Linked DNA regions of Drosophila melanogaster. The protein of the gene in region 2 interacts with the protein of the main gene of each other region in a pairwise test. Each region holds a gene or a part of one and is shown on either strand. Other genes may lie near its edges.

Region 1 (4,257 bases), on a different chromosome or scaffold from region 2:
GTAAATCCCCTCTAGCCTAGCGTAGTCTAGCCTGTTCAGTCTCAGCGGCAGCTTCGGGCGATGTTGGCCGGCAGGCGCTAACTGGCCTTGGAATGCCGTCCGCTGGGCCACTGCGTCATAGTCATATTCGATTTGTTTAGGTTTTTGCAGTGCTGGAATTAAACCAAAGCATAATTACGCATAGAAATACATTGAGAGCTCATACAATTCATCCATTAAAGTACGCCTAAGTTTGTGTCTTAAGTCTTTTGTTTAGAGATTTGTATTATTGCGCGCGATGCGATCACTTTCAAAAGATCTTCAAACTAGACCATACGCTCAAAATCACTTAGACCATAAGTTGCATGTAAATAGTGTTAAATTCGGAGCAGCCGCAGCGACCGCAAACCTAGTTTAAGTTGTAGCACGTAGTTAGTTGCCTAAGCGAACGCATAAGTCATTAGTACCATGAACGCGAACATAAACATGAGAATCCAACTTTCAACATAGTCAAATAAGTTTATGTTTAAAAGCTAAGAAGTCAAACATACAATAAATGAAGTAACAAAATACAAATTCAAACTGGTTCTGTTTATTTGCTTGTGGGGGTTTTCTTATATAGATATTATAATATTTATGCTATGGTTCCAAATCACTTTCGTTGGACTCCTCGCATTCGTTGTAGTTCAAATTAGGATTTTTGCGACCCCTGCTCCCATTTAATTGGTAACTCTGGGAACAAGTGTGCTGCTCCAGAAGATATTTGCTCGTAAAGGACATCGAGCAGTGGACACACCGGTTGTGACTCAAAATGTGCTTGGTAAGAAGTTTTTTATTTTGATAGGACTTTTTGCACTGTGTACAGTTGTGCCTCTCGATAACAGTCTTTACTTTCTTGTGAGTGGCGTGGTGCATTTGATAATTGTCTTCTATGCTAAATTTTTTCGGGCATTTGGGACAAGGGAATATTTGTCCAGGAGACTTACTCCGGAGAAATTGTACGCAAACCTGCGAACTGATGTGTTCTTTAAGACCGTTTCTTTTTTGAAAAGTTTGCTGGCACTTTATGCACTTGAACGGACCTTTCGTCGTGTGACTTTTCTTGAAGTGAAAATCTAGATAATTCTGACTTTCGAAAAACTTGGAACACTTGTGGCACTTGAAACGAGTGTGAGCACAATCGTGACTCTTTAGGTTACTTTCTTCTTGAAAGGACATCAGGCAGAGGGGACATTTGAACGTTCGTTCCCCCGCGTGGATTTTTACGTGGTCTTTAAGGCTGGACACGTCTGAGAATACATCTGCACACTGCGCGCACTTGTGCGATGACTTCCGAGACAGTCTCTGAGAGACATCCTCATGTGTCTGAATGTGAATTTCAAGAAAGCTGGAGTAAAGGAACAGTTTTGGACAGTGAGGGCACCTGTACGGAGGCTCCAACTCTGATTCTCTTTCATCAGAGGCCCTATGAATCCACATATGGGCTTCAAGACATCCGCGTTTCATATATATACTTGGACACATGGGACATTTCAGCCGTGGAGGCTCGGTGGTACGCGTTTCATTATGAGTCCGAATGTGAGCTTGAAGTTTGGCGGCGAGTAAGAATATCTTTGGGCACTGAGGGCATCTGTGAGGTGGCTTCCCAGTAACTTCATAATCAACTGGCTTGTTTTTTACTGGAATTGAATCTATGTCAATGATCTCCTCTTTAGGTTGTCGGTACATCTGGATAGTATTTTCTTTAGACTCTAAATCATCGAATGCATTTTTCACAACATCCAGACAAGTTACACAGATATATTCAGAAAATGAATCGCCTTTCTCAACTGGCATTCCTGTGTACTGAGAGAGTATCGTGGCAATCGGAATTCCGTACTGATGCGCGTCATCAAATATATTGGTTAAGTTGTCAGACTGTTCCAAGCAAACGCGACAGCTTCCGATTGCTGGCTCTTCCAGACATTCTGTTATTATAAAGTATTCTCCCTGCAAGTCCTCCCCTTCAATAGCCTCCTCCTTAATTACGGGGAGCTCCTCCTCAGCGACGGAATCCTGTATGATGATCACGTCGTTATTTGCGGGATGATCCTCAAGAATTACCTCCTCAGCGAAGGAATCCTGTATGAGGATCACGTCGTTATTTGCGCGATGATTCTCATGAACCTCTACGTCTACTATGTTGCTCGCTCCTATGATCTCCTCATTATGTATGTGGTTTTCCTCGATAACCTTCTTCTTAATTAGAGCGTCCTCCTCCTTAACTACCAGTTGCACTTCTGGATATAAAGGATGCTCCGGCAGGCCGTCTTCGCCGTTTATGGACATTTCTAAGTGAACCTTGTCGTTAATTTGGGTTTCGGGCCTTGGTCCCTTATGCTTGGTGCCAAATGTGTCCATATGCAGGCACTGCAGGCAAAGGGTTTTCGGAAGCGAGCCACCGCGTTTGACCGACAAGCCCGGTCGTACCTTGCAGCACTGACACACGTTCTCCATCGCCCTGGAATCATTTAATCGTATAAAACGTTGGTTAAAATGATTTTTGTGGCTTACCTAGTCGTTTGTTTACAATTTTCAGGGCTATCAACAACGGGCAACCCTGTTTTCAGCGTATTGTTATCGAGCGCTTATCGATATCAAACGCTGTAATCGACTGTTATAACTAAAATATACCCTTTACGAAACAAATTTTACAAATTCATGTATGTACGTATTTACTTTATCTTTGCAATAAATACCAGGTGCTTTCCATAGCAAACAAAAACAAACGTTTTCCATTTTGTTTAACAGAAGCCAGACATTTAATAAAAAATATTTAAAATAGGCGGATGGATTGCGAATAATACAAAATCGAATGTTCCATAGCTGTCTTAAAACATACCAACCATATAAACCGGATAGACCTAATAAATTAAGCAACTAATCATTAACCGATATTGTCAAACTAAAGCTAACTTAGTGGAATGATTTCTCAAGATGTAGCCGTATATTAACTAGGGGAAGCGCTTTTTCAGTAGGTTTTCCAGCTTTCTGATGCCCGTCTGGGAACTTCCATCGGCATTTTTATCTGCGCTTCCCGTAAAGCTGCCCACGCTGAAGATAAAGGCTCGTTTGGGGGTTGAGGAAGTTGCCGTTGTTGTTTCAGTTGGTACTGCTGAGGTTTCAGCATCGTCTGTGGTCCCCGAAGTTGCGACTACTGTTTCTGCACCTTGGGTCTCCTCCTCTCCAGTAGTTGGCTCTATTAAGCCACTCACAGCCGCTGCAGATGCCGTGTGCTTGAAAAGATCAATCAGTTGCAGTTGATCCACACGTTTGACCGCCTTCATATCCAGAATCTTTTGGTACTCCGCAATGGTAATGTCTGGCAGCAGCTTAAGCACTTGCTGAGTGAAGTGCGCCGGCGGCTGTACCGGCGTCATCACCACCTTGATGATCATCTCGGCCCGAGTCATGTCCTTGACCACAACTTTGGTGTAACTGGTGGGCGCCTTGCGGTTCACACTCGATCCCACGGAAGGTAGCTCTAATAAAGCCGTCTTTAGCGAATGGGTGTCCAACAAGAGTTGCTCGCAGCCCAGAACATTGTTGGAACCATCCGAGAGGGTTAGTTTGCAGCGATAGAGCACATTGATGAACTTCGGTATGAAGGCGGCGACGAAGCGATGGCAGAACTGGGTGAAATACTTCCGCGAACTGGCTAGCGTGTCCCTGATGGTAGGCACTGTCTGCTTAAAGTTACCGCACAGGCTGCTGATGAAGGCGCTCTGGTCGCCCACGTTGTTAATGTGTTGCCACTGCACCTTGGCCATCGCCTGCAGCGAAGCTTCGCAGCCAGCCTCTAGATCTTGGACCAAAAGTTGGATGCAGTTGGAAATGATTCTAGAAAAGTTACAAATATTAATAAACTATTTGATTATTTGATAGCAAAAATTTTTACTCACCTATGAAAGACATCCTTTTCCTCGCTCATGTCAATCTTGCTGACATATGCAGAAGTCACCTTTTCCTTCAGTTTATCCTCCAGCTGTTGGACCGTCTCCAAACAGTACTCACCCGTGGTCAGAACGCAACAAATGCGCACCAGATCATCTCTTGCAAATCGCTGCGTATCGCCCTCTTTGAGGAAATTGTGAAACACCTGACCAGCGGCCGTTGATAGATTCTGCATATCGCGCGTGAGTAACGAAACACTTTTACCGATCGAGCTGCTAGTGGTGGCTGGCACAAGCTTGGGTGTGCTGCCCTCGAGCACTTTGGAGGCGTACTCCCGTAGATATT
Region 2 (8,667 bases):
AGAGCCCCCTCCTCGATTCGTTTCCCAATCAGACAGCCAGCGGCATCGTTAGCAACGCAACGCAACGCAACGAAACGCGACTCTCGGAGCTCGCCTGCATTTCCAAGTTCCAAGTTTCGTTGCAACCCCGATGGTCAGCAGCTCGGACTTCCACGTCCACTCCTGCCGCCAATCCACCGACTCTAAAACCCTCACACCCCAAACCTTGCATGGTGACTCCCTTTTTAAGCCCTTTTTCATTGCCCATACGCCCTCAAGGGGGTTTTATTGCGCTAGGCATTTTTGCATATTTGAGGCATCATCGCTCATCGCTTTTGTGTGTAAGCCAACTTTCAGACATGGTCGAAGGTAAAACCAGCGGCAGGAGCAGGAAAGCAGCGAAGCAGCAGCTGAGGACGAAGAATCAGCAAAGGGCTAACCCTTGTGCCACCCATTTTCTGCATTCTCTAAGCTGCAACGTCGCCGTTGTCGCTGTTCCTGTTGCTGTTGCACTCTTCTATTTGGCGTTTTAATATGCAACATTTTTTCCCGCTGATCTCCCCGCCGGCGATGCCCCATCCCCATACTCTTTCCCCTCCCCAGTACCCATTTTACCCCTTATGTGTACGTTTGGTCACCTCCATGGTCGCAGCATTTCTCACTGAGAACAAAAAGCAGCGAGATCTCGTACCACATCACTTCTTTGGCTACATTAAAAATGTCGAATTTATTGTACTATTAAAAGGGCCTTCCTTTTTTGAAATAATTTCATAAATGCTCACTCTTTTCTTAACAATTAATACTAAGACTTTAAATTGCATTACCGCGCAGCTGAGATCAACTAAGTCAGTTACTGCATTGTAAGCTTATACATTTTGACAACCAGAAGCCTAGGTTTTCTGCCAGTGCATTCACACTCATGGCAACCGTTTTATTTGTTTGTTTGCTTGTTCGTTCACTCATGTGTGTGGGTCAGACGGCGACCTCTCACCCCCTCCGCAACTTTGTCTGTTTGGCTCAAATGTTGTCATCTTTCCCCGCACACACACTCCACCCCACAGAGCCACCGGCCCACCCATTTTTGGCCTTTCGCAGAGGCTTTCGTCGCTTTTTTGGACATCAGCATCCAGTGGATTCCATCCCACGAACCGGCGTCCACATCTCCACAGCTCCGATGTCCTTTCACGTCCGCGTCATCGTTTTGCTCGTCAGCGTCGTCGTCACCAGTTAAATACATAAATTTTCGTATAAACGCGTTCTGCAGTCGCGAGCCTAGCAGCCATTTCCCAATTTTCCATTTCCCAGCGCCCGCCCCCTTCCCTCTTTTCCACTTTATAGCGGGCAACACAACAGCAAACAACTTAGAGAATGCGTGATGCATTTTCGTGTTGCTGCGTTTGATCCAAATTCTGTTGGCTGCAATTCATTGGTTGCTATAAACACAGTGTTATCTAATTGCATATGGTTTTTAGGGGGAAAATAAGCAGAACTATCTGCAAAGGGTCCTAAGTGGTGCAAGCATTACCACATATAGTATATATAATATATATAGTATAATAGAAAAACAATCAGTTTTATTATTAATTTATCCAATACATAAAAACCATATTCAGTTACCTGAATTCATTCAAAATACTCAAAAGCCTAAAAAGCCCGAATAACTTATGAATTAATAGCACACACACTCATTAAATAGTAGAGATACAAAGTCCAAAACTATTTCAAGGGCTGGCCATTAGAGTAGGCAAAAGTATCACTTAGCGTCATTAAATCACCGGATACGAGTGAATGAAGGCATTAAAAGACTCATTCAGAGATGCCAGATGAATACTGAATATAATCCGATCGATGGATACCTGCCGATCGCGTATTTGTGCCCCTTTATCGCGATTCGCGATTCGATTCATGGCCGATGTTTATTATAATGTAACCAAAATGAAAAGCAGCCGCCATTTGCCAGTCACGAAAAAATTATGCATAATTTATGACTGGCTGTAGTGGACCCCTCTCGCCACCTCTCGCTCACTCACCTTGATATGTAGCTTCGTCCCGCTCGCACTTGCAAGAATTTATTATTTTTGCTAGATTTGTGTTTTTTTTTTATTTTATGTTTCGCATATTATAAATGCGCAAGGCAATAACAAAAATAATCATAAACACATACACGGAATCACCCACACAGAGGCAAAAAACCGAGGCTGACCAGTCTGAAACGATAGTGCCCCGCCCTCCGCCCCTTCGGCCACTCGGCACCCCCCCAAATGCCCATCACCACTACTCATGAAGAGAGCGAGAAAAACTAGTGGAAAACTGCAGGTGCAGCTGAAAGAAAGAGAAACGTCTCTTAGGCGAAAAGCGCCAGCCAACTCTCTCGCGAAAGAGAGAGAGCCAATTCGCCGCACATCTTGATTTCGCCTAAGCATTTGTTTACAATGCACGACTGGCAGCGACGTCGACTGCGAAGAGAGTTTTTCGTGATGGTTTTTCGAAGGGGGGGCTGTGTGGGGTACACCTCGAACGGAACTAATTAATGAAGCATCTTTCAGCCGAGTTTTGTTTCTCAGTCGGATGAGGTGGAATGCGTGAGGGAGAAAGAGTAATGGCTTGGGAAGAATAGAAAGAGAGAGGAATGTGCTTCGAAAGACCTAATGATCACTAATCTGCACTTCTCGCAAAATGCTCATACTACAAATGTTACAAGCAATTCATACATATGAATATCGATTTCCAATATTCTAAAAATAATTAAAATATTTTATTTAATAATTTTCAATTTTTTCAATTTTTTCACTTAAATTTAAGCTTTTAAAAGAACCCTAATAAGATATATAATATCCATCACCTAAATAATCGGCAAACTCAGCACTATTTTCGCCGCATTCCCAATTCCTGAAGACCACCTAGATGTGTTCCTCTATTTTGTGCCAGGGGTACTGGTCGATGGGGCTCGTCCACACCCTCTCCTGCCAAGCACCTCCGAAAAATATTAGGCCTAAGCTCGAATCCGCACTCGCACTCGCACTCACAATCGCAATCGCAATCGCAATCGCCGTCGCTCTCCGCTGCATTTTCGGGGCAACTTCCGTTTCCTCACGCACGCACACTTGCCACTTGCCACTTGCAGCGACGCATCCTTTTTACGCAACGGTAGTTGTGCGGCGGCAAAGCGCCAAAATTTTGGGGGTTGCAACGGCGAGAGGCCGAGAACGAGGACGAGGACGAGTTCGAGTGCGTCGAGCAGGCCGACGAAGGACGAAGGACGAAGGACGAGCGAAGCCGATTCCGATGTTGAGCTCGAGGAGAGCCAAAACGCAGCGCAGGAGCAAAGGAATGCGGTGCCGTTAGCCGGCGTTTTTTGGCGCCTACAGCTCGCCGTTTTCAGCCATTTTCAACGGGCTCGCCGCTGCTTCGGTCGTTGTCTCTGCCGTCGGTTCTCAGCCAAGCGGCGCTGCCTACGTCGCATTTTCCTTTCGCAGCGCCGGCAGAGCAGTTCGCGAACTATTCGCAACTTCGTCGCGAACTCAGTCGCAGCCTGAGAGCAACAACTACAAAGCAGTAGCAGTAGCAGTTGCTGCTGATGTTGCTGTTGCTGCCGCTTCTGCTGTTGCCGTTGCCGTTGCTGCAACATCAACGTTGCCCCTCAGCTTTCCACAGGCACAGGCACAGGCACTGCCACAGCCACAGCCACAGCCGCACATCCACATCCACATCCACGTCGTCGTGGGCCATCGTCGTCGTCGTGTGTTAAGTTTGTTTTGAGTTTTTCCGTATCAAAATGTGCAAAACGATTTCAGTCTAATTCAGACGCTCGTGCTGAGAAGACTTTTGGCCCTGTTTGTTGGCCAATACAGCCATAGAACACTGAAACCGAAACAGAAACAGAAACGGAACTGAAAGCACACACTGAATAACACTGGACACGACGACGAGAACCGAATCGAACTGAAAGAACGAGGCGGCGGGCTAATTGCCAAATGGCCACGTAGTGCGCGTAACGTAACGAATACGTTAAACACCCATACACACACGCCCAGACACACACACACACACACACACACACAGAGAGACAGAGGCACGCACACAGATACGCACATGTACATGCCCACTCTCAGTTGAGCGTCGTAATTGTCGCGGATTCTTTTGAATGCTTATTCCTTAAACGCTATGTGAAGAGCGAATCGCGTAACGAATAACGATCGCGTAACGTTTACGATCGCCGGTGATCCAACGATCAACGATCAACGATCAGCTGCAGACAAAATGGCGTCGGCGCAGGCGGAGACGAATGTCGGCTTGGCGTCCGAACAGGGACCAGTGGCTCAGAGGCAGCGCAAAGGGACGGGATCGGGCGCCGATTCGCCCAAGAGTAACAGAAGCTCGCCCACTCAGCAGGAGGAGAAGCGTATCAAAAGCGAGGATCGCACTTCACCAACTGGCGGGGCCAAGGACGAGGACAAGGAGAGTCAAGGTCATGCTGTAGCCGGAGGGGGAGGATCTTCGCCCGTCAGTTCGCCACAGGGCAGGAGTTCTTCGGTAGCCTCGCCCAGTTCCAGCTCCCAGCAATTCTGCCTGCGCTGGAACAACTATCAGACGAACCTGACCACCATCTTTGACCAGCTGCTCCAGAACGAGTGCTTCGTGGACGTGACCTTGGCATGCGATGGTCGGTCCATGAAGGCCCACAAGATGGTCCTGTCCGCCTGCTCGCCCTACTTCCAAACACTTCTGGCCGAAACGCCCTGCCAGCATCCCATTGTGATCATGCGGGACGTAAATTGGTCGGATCTCAAGGCCATTGTGGAGTTCATGTATCGCGGCGAGATCAACGTGAGCCAGGACCAGATAGGTCCTCTGCTCAGGATAGCTGAGATGTTGAAAGTGCGTGGTCTGGCGGATGTGACCCATATGGAGGCGGCCACGGCAGCAGCGGCTGCCGCTTCGTCGGAGAGAATGCCCTCCTCGCCCAAGGAGAGCACTTCAACTTCCAGAACTGAACACGACAGGGAACGGGAGGCCGAGGAGCTGCTGGCCTTCATGCAGCCCGAGAAGAAGCTACGCACTTCGGACTGGGATCCCGCTGAGCTGAGGCTCTCCCCACTGGAGCGGCAGCAGGGCAGGAATGTAAGAAAGCGCCGGTGGCCATCGGCGGACACAATATTCAATCCACCCGCACCACCCAGTCCACTGAGCAGCCTGATTGCGGCCGAAAGGATGGAGCTGGAGCAAAAGGAAAGAGAGAGACAGAGGGACTGTTCGCTGATGACACCCCCACCCAAACCACCAATGAGCAGTGGCTCCACAGTGGGAGCCACGAGGCGCCTGGAGACCGCCATCCACGCCCTGGACATGCCATCGCCGGCTGCCACGCCAGGACCTCTGTCCCGATCGTCGAGACCTCACTCGCAGAGCCCCCAGCAGCAGCAGGCACAGCAGCAGGGTCAGCTTCCTTTGCCCCTGCCCCTGCATCCGCACCATCACGCATCACCCGCCCCACATCCCTCCCAGACCGCCGGATCAGCCCACCACCCGGCATCGCCTGCTGGAGATTCCCGTTTTCCCCTCGGCCCAGCAGCCGCCATGGCCGCTGCCAGGGAACTGAGTGGCCTGGGACCAGGTCCGTCCGCCGAGCCACGCCTTCCGCCTCCACCGCCGCACCACCATGGCGGTGGTGGAGTGGGCGGCGGGGGAGTTGGAGGAGGAGGTGCAGGCGGAGTGGGTTCAGGCGGGGGATCCTCGCTCGCCGATGACTTGGAGATCAAGCCAGGGATCGCCGAGATGATCCGAGAGGAAGAAAGGGTGAGTGAATCTAAGCAACTTAAATTTCACGTTTATCTTTGTATTTCATCTTCCTTAAAGATAACTTTCGTACTTTTGTTTTCAATTATTCATATGTTGTGAATCGTTTTCTAAGTTAGTACATATGCCAGTTAAGAGAAGACTCTTCAATTCTGCAATTCCAATTCTACAAAAAGAGAGGCAGAGAGAGAGAGAGAGAGAAGCGCGCGGTGGAGCTCTCTTCTGCTGCTGCAGCGCTGTCACTGCGCTGTCGCAGCGCTGCTTCCGTCTATATCTCTCTCCCATTCATTATCCGATCTTTTGCCTCGGTTTGTTTTGATTCACGATTCGCGCGCCTTTCGGCGATCTTCAATCTTCGGCTGCGAATTCTGCCGGCGGCATTTCGCCTCGTGTCGTGACGTCACAGCGCGGAATGCGGAGCTACGGTCGCAGCGCTCTGTGGAACTCCCCACCCCACCGCCAGAGTGGCCATTGCCCGGAATGATTGACAGCATTCACGTGCTCCACGTTCCACGTTCCATTGTTTGCTCTCCTCGGCCGCTCTTTCTTCCCGCAGAGATTTGCTCCACATAGTATTTAGTACCCCTTCTCAGGTCAGATCCACCGATTCTTGGGTTCTCGGGGAGCAGGCACCGGAACGCTTCGGTGACCAAGAGGTGATTGAAATTCCTGTGGCCTGCGGTTGATTTCGATCTATGGAGCATTTTGTGACTTGTTGTGGTTCCCTAAGTGTGCTTCAATTAGGGCAACGACGGAATGGGTCTGCACAGAAAATATCTGGGGCTAAAATCGATAGATTCATTATTTGGATTTTTTATGTATTTTTCTCTTTCTGAGATTGAATCATTATGATTGCATAAAAATATATTTTAAATTTTGAAATGCTGATATTGAAAATTAAAAAAAAAATATTAAATATTGATCTTAAGATGCGCTTGCAATATACATATGAAGATATCTATAGTCCTAATGCGGCTTTGCTTCATAATTATATTTCAATAAGTTCACTCCAAACATTGTATCTGAATATTTACGACTATTAAAGTAAGCTGGTAGTTTTTGTCAGCTTAGCTTAGCGACCGGTTCGATTTGGACTGCGACTGCATTAGCACCGAGCTCACCGCAGAATTCGCACTTTAATAAAAATTTGTATTTATTTATCCAATAGACGTCGACGACGTTCACTCAAGAGCCCAGATCTCTGGCGATGGAGCTCCATTCACCATTCAGAGTCACATGCATTCGATGAGGAGTTGCCCGGTCCGGGATCAATCGGAATGCGATATTTGTTTGTCTGGGCGCAGAAGAGATCCCAGTGCGACTCCTTTTCTGGCCGGTTCTTGGCCATGTTCCATGTTCCGTGTTCCGTGTTTATTGTCGCTTTCGAGTGCATTAATCAAATAGCCAGCTATGCACACATGTGCATGTGCATTAGCCTGCTCATGTGCTCAATTTTTGAAGCCGTCTGTCTGTCGGTCTGTCGGTCTGTTTGCCTCTGATCGCCGCGGCGTTGGCTCGTTAGCGTCTCTTTTCAATAAATATTTTGTTTTTATGCTTTTTTAAATATTTTCCCAACTGACCGTTTGCTTTGCTTTTTATGTGCTTAGAAATTCTTTGGAAAATGCATCTGCATCTGCATCTGCATCTGAATCTGAATCCGCCGCGGCATCTGTATCTGCATCTTTGTTTGTTTGCCTGGGTATTAGTGTTGCCGGCCGTGTTTATGCTTTCCCGCTGTTTGCCTTTTCGATTGTTCTCCTCATTTCCCCATCACCGTCATATATTTCCCAACGTTTATTCACACATTTCATTTATTATTAAAAACTGATGCATTTTTCGTTGCTTCGCGGCAATCGCAGCAAGGCAACGCCACAGATACACCCGAAAAAAATGTGCAAACCTTTGTAATTTCGATATATACAAAATATGAGTATGAAATTCTGCCTAGCCAATGAGCATTATGTTTTGAAATTATAACTCCATTGTTTAGCACACATGAAAATATATCCACGTTCATTTCGATACAGGTATTCACTTTTCCACGTGTAAAAGTCAAATATTGATGGGCTGCATCCTCGGCCAGCGATTCACCAGCTTCTTTAATATTTATAATTCCTTCCATTTATATTTATATGTTTGTGTGGATGCACCTCGACTTACTCCACCTCCTCCGCTCCCCGCCATAAGCAGATAAAGCCGATAAGTGTCAGTCGTCGTGGTCCAGGGGTCTCAGTTCTGAATGTCTGGGCCCCTCGGTTTCTGGTGATTAATTGCACTTTTATTTGTCTGCCTTCGCCTTTGTTAAAAATCATTTTTTCTCCTTTACGCATTTTTTGTTCTTCGGTTTTTCATATTTTATTGCCAGCGCATTTAGATTGTGTATGCGAGTGAGCATCATTAGAGGTTGTATATTATTATTGGTTTCCTCTCCAGCTTCTCGATCAGTTCACTGAACTTTTTGCAGATCGTGGGCGCAGAGGAAGTTTTTATTAGGCCCAATAAGACGAATGAAAAACTTCTAAAGGGGAATGAATACTGAGTGATTTTATGAAAATCAACTATGTAGATTGGGATTATTATTCGTATTATTCTTGAAATTCCATCAACATCTTATGAAACATTGAAGGCCGGCTTGGACGTTTTTCAACTGCAGAGAACAATTGAGATATATATTCCTCTACTGATTGTAATCAATGCCACATCCCGCAGCCTTTCCTTTCGATTTCCTCGCCACTTTCCCACTCAATTAGTGCACAGATGAGGGCCAAACCGCAGGGAGAAGATGCAGGGAATCCGCAGAGAAAGGGACCAAGAGGGACAGAGTCTGAGAGAATCTCACACTCATGATTAGCGTGTGTCGCTACCTTTTCCAGCAGGCAAAAACTGCAGCCC

Evidence for each region.
Region 1: the proteins of bab1 (region 2) and CG17612 interact in a two-hybrid assay, tested with the Drosophila melanogaster proteins (one large-scale study listed by BioGRID).

The regions. Positions count from the first base shown.
Region 1 is NT_033779.5:4,380,165-4,384,421, forward strand, and holds CG17612 (uncharacterized protein), read right to left. Parts: upstream 2,572-4,257; 5' UTR 2,533-2,571; intron 2,498-2,532; exon of another isoform or gene 2,480-2,497; 5' UTR 2,476-2,479; coding exon 619-2,475; 3' UTR 558-618; downstream 1-557. Other genes in the region: Vps53 (vacuolar protein sorting 53), read right to left, coding at 2,973-3,858, 3,921-4,257.
Region 2 is NT_037436.4:1,096,209-1,104,875, reverse strand, and holds the start of bab1 (bric a brac 1), read left to right. Parts: upstream 1-3,786; 5' UTR 3,787-4,239; coding exon 4,240-5,775; intron 5,776-8,667. UniProt on the Drosophila melanogaster protein: Probably acts as a transcriptional regulator. Required for the specification of the tarsal segment. Also involved in antenna development.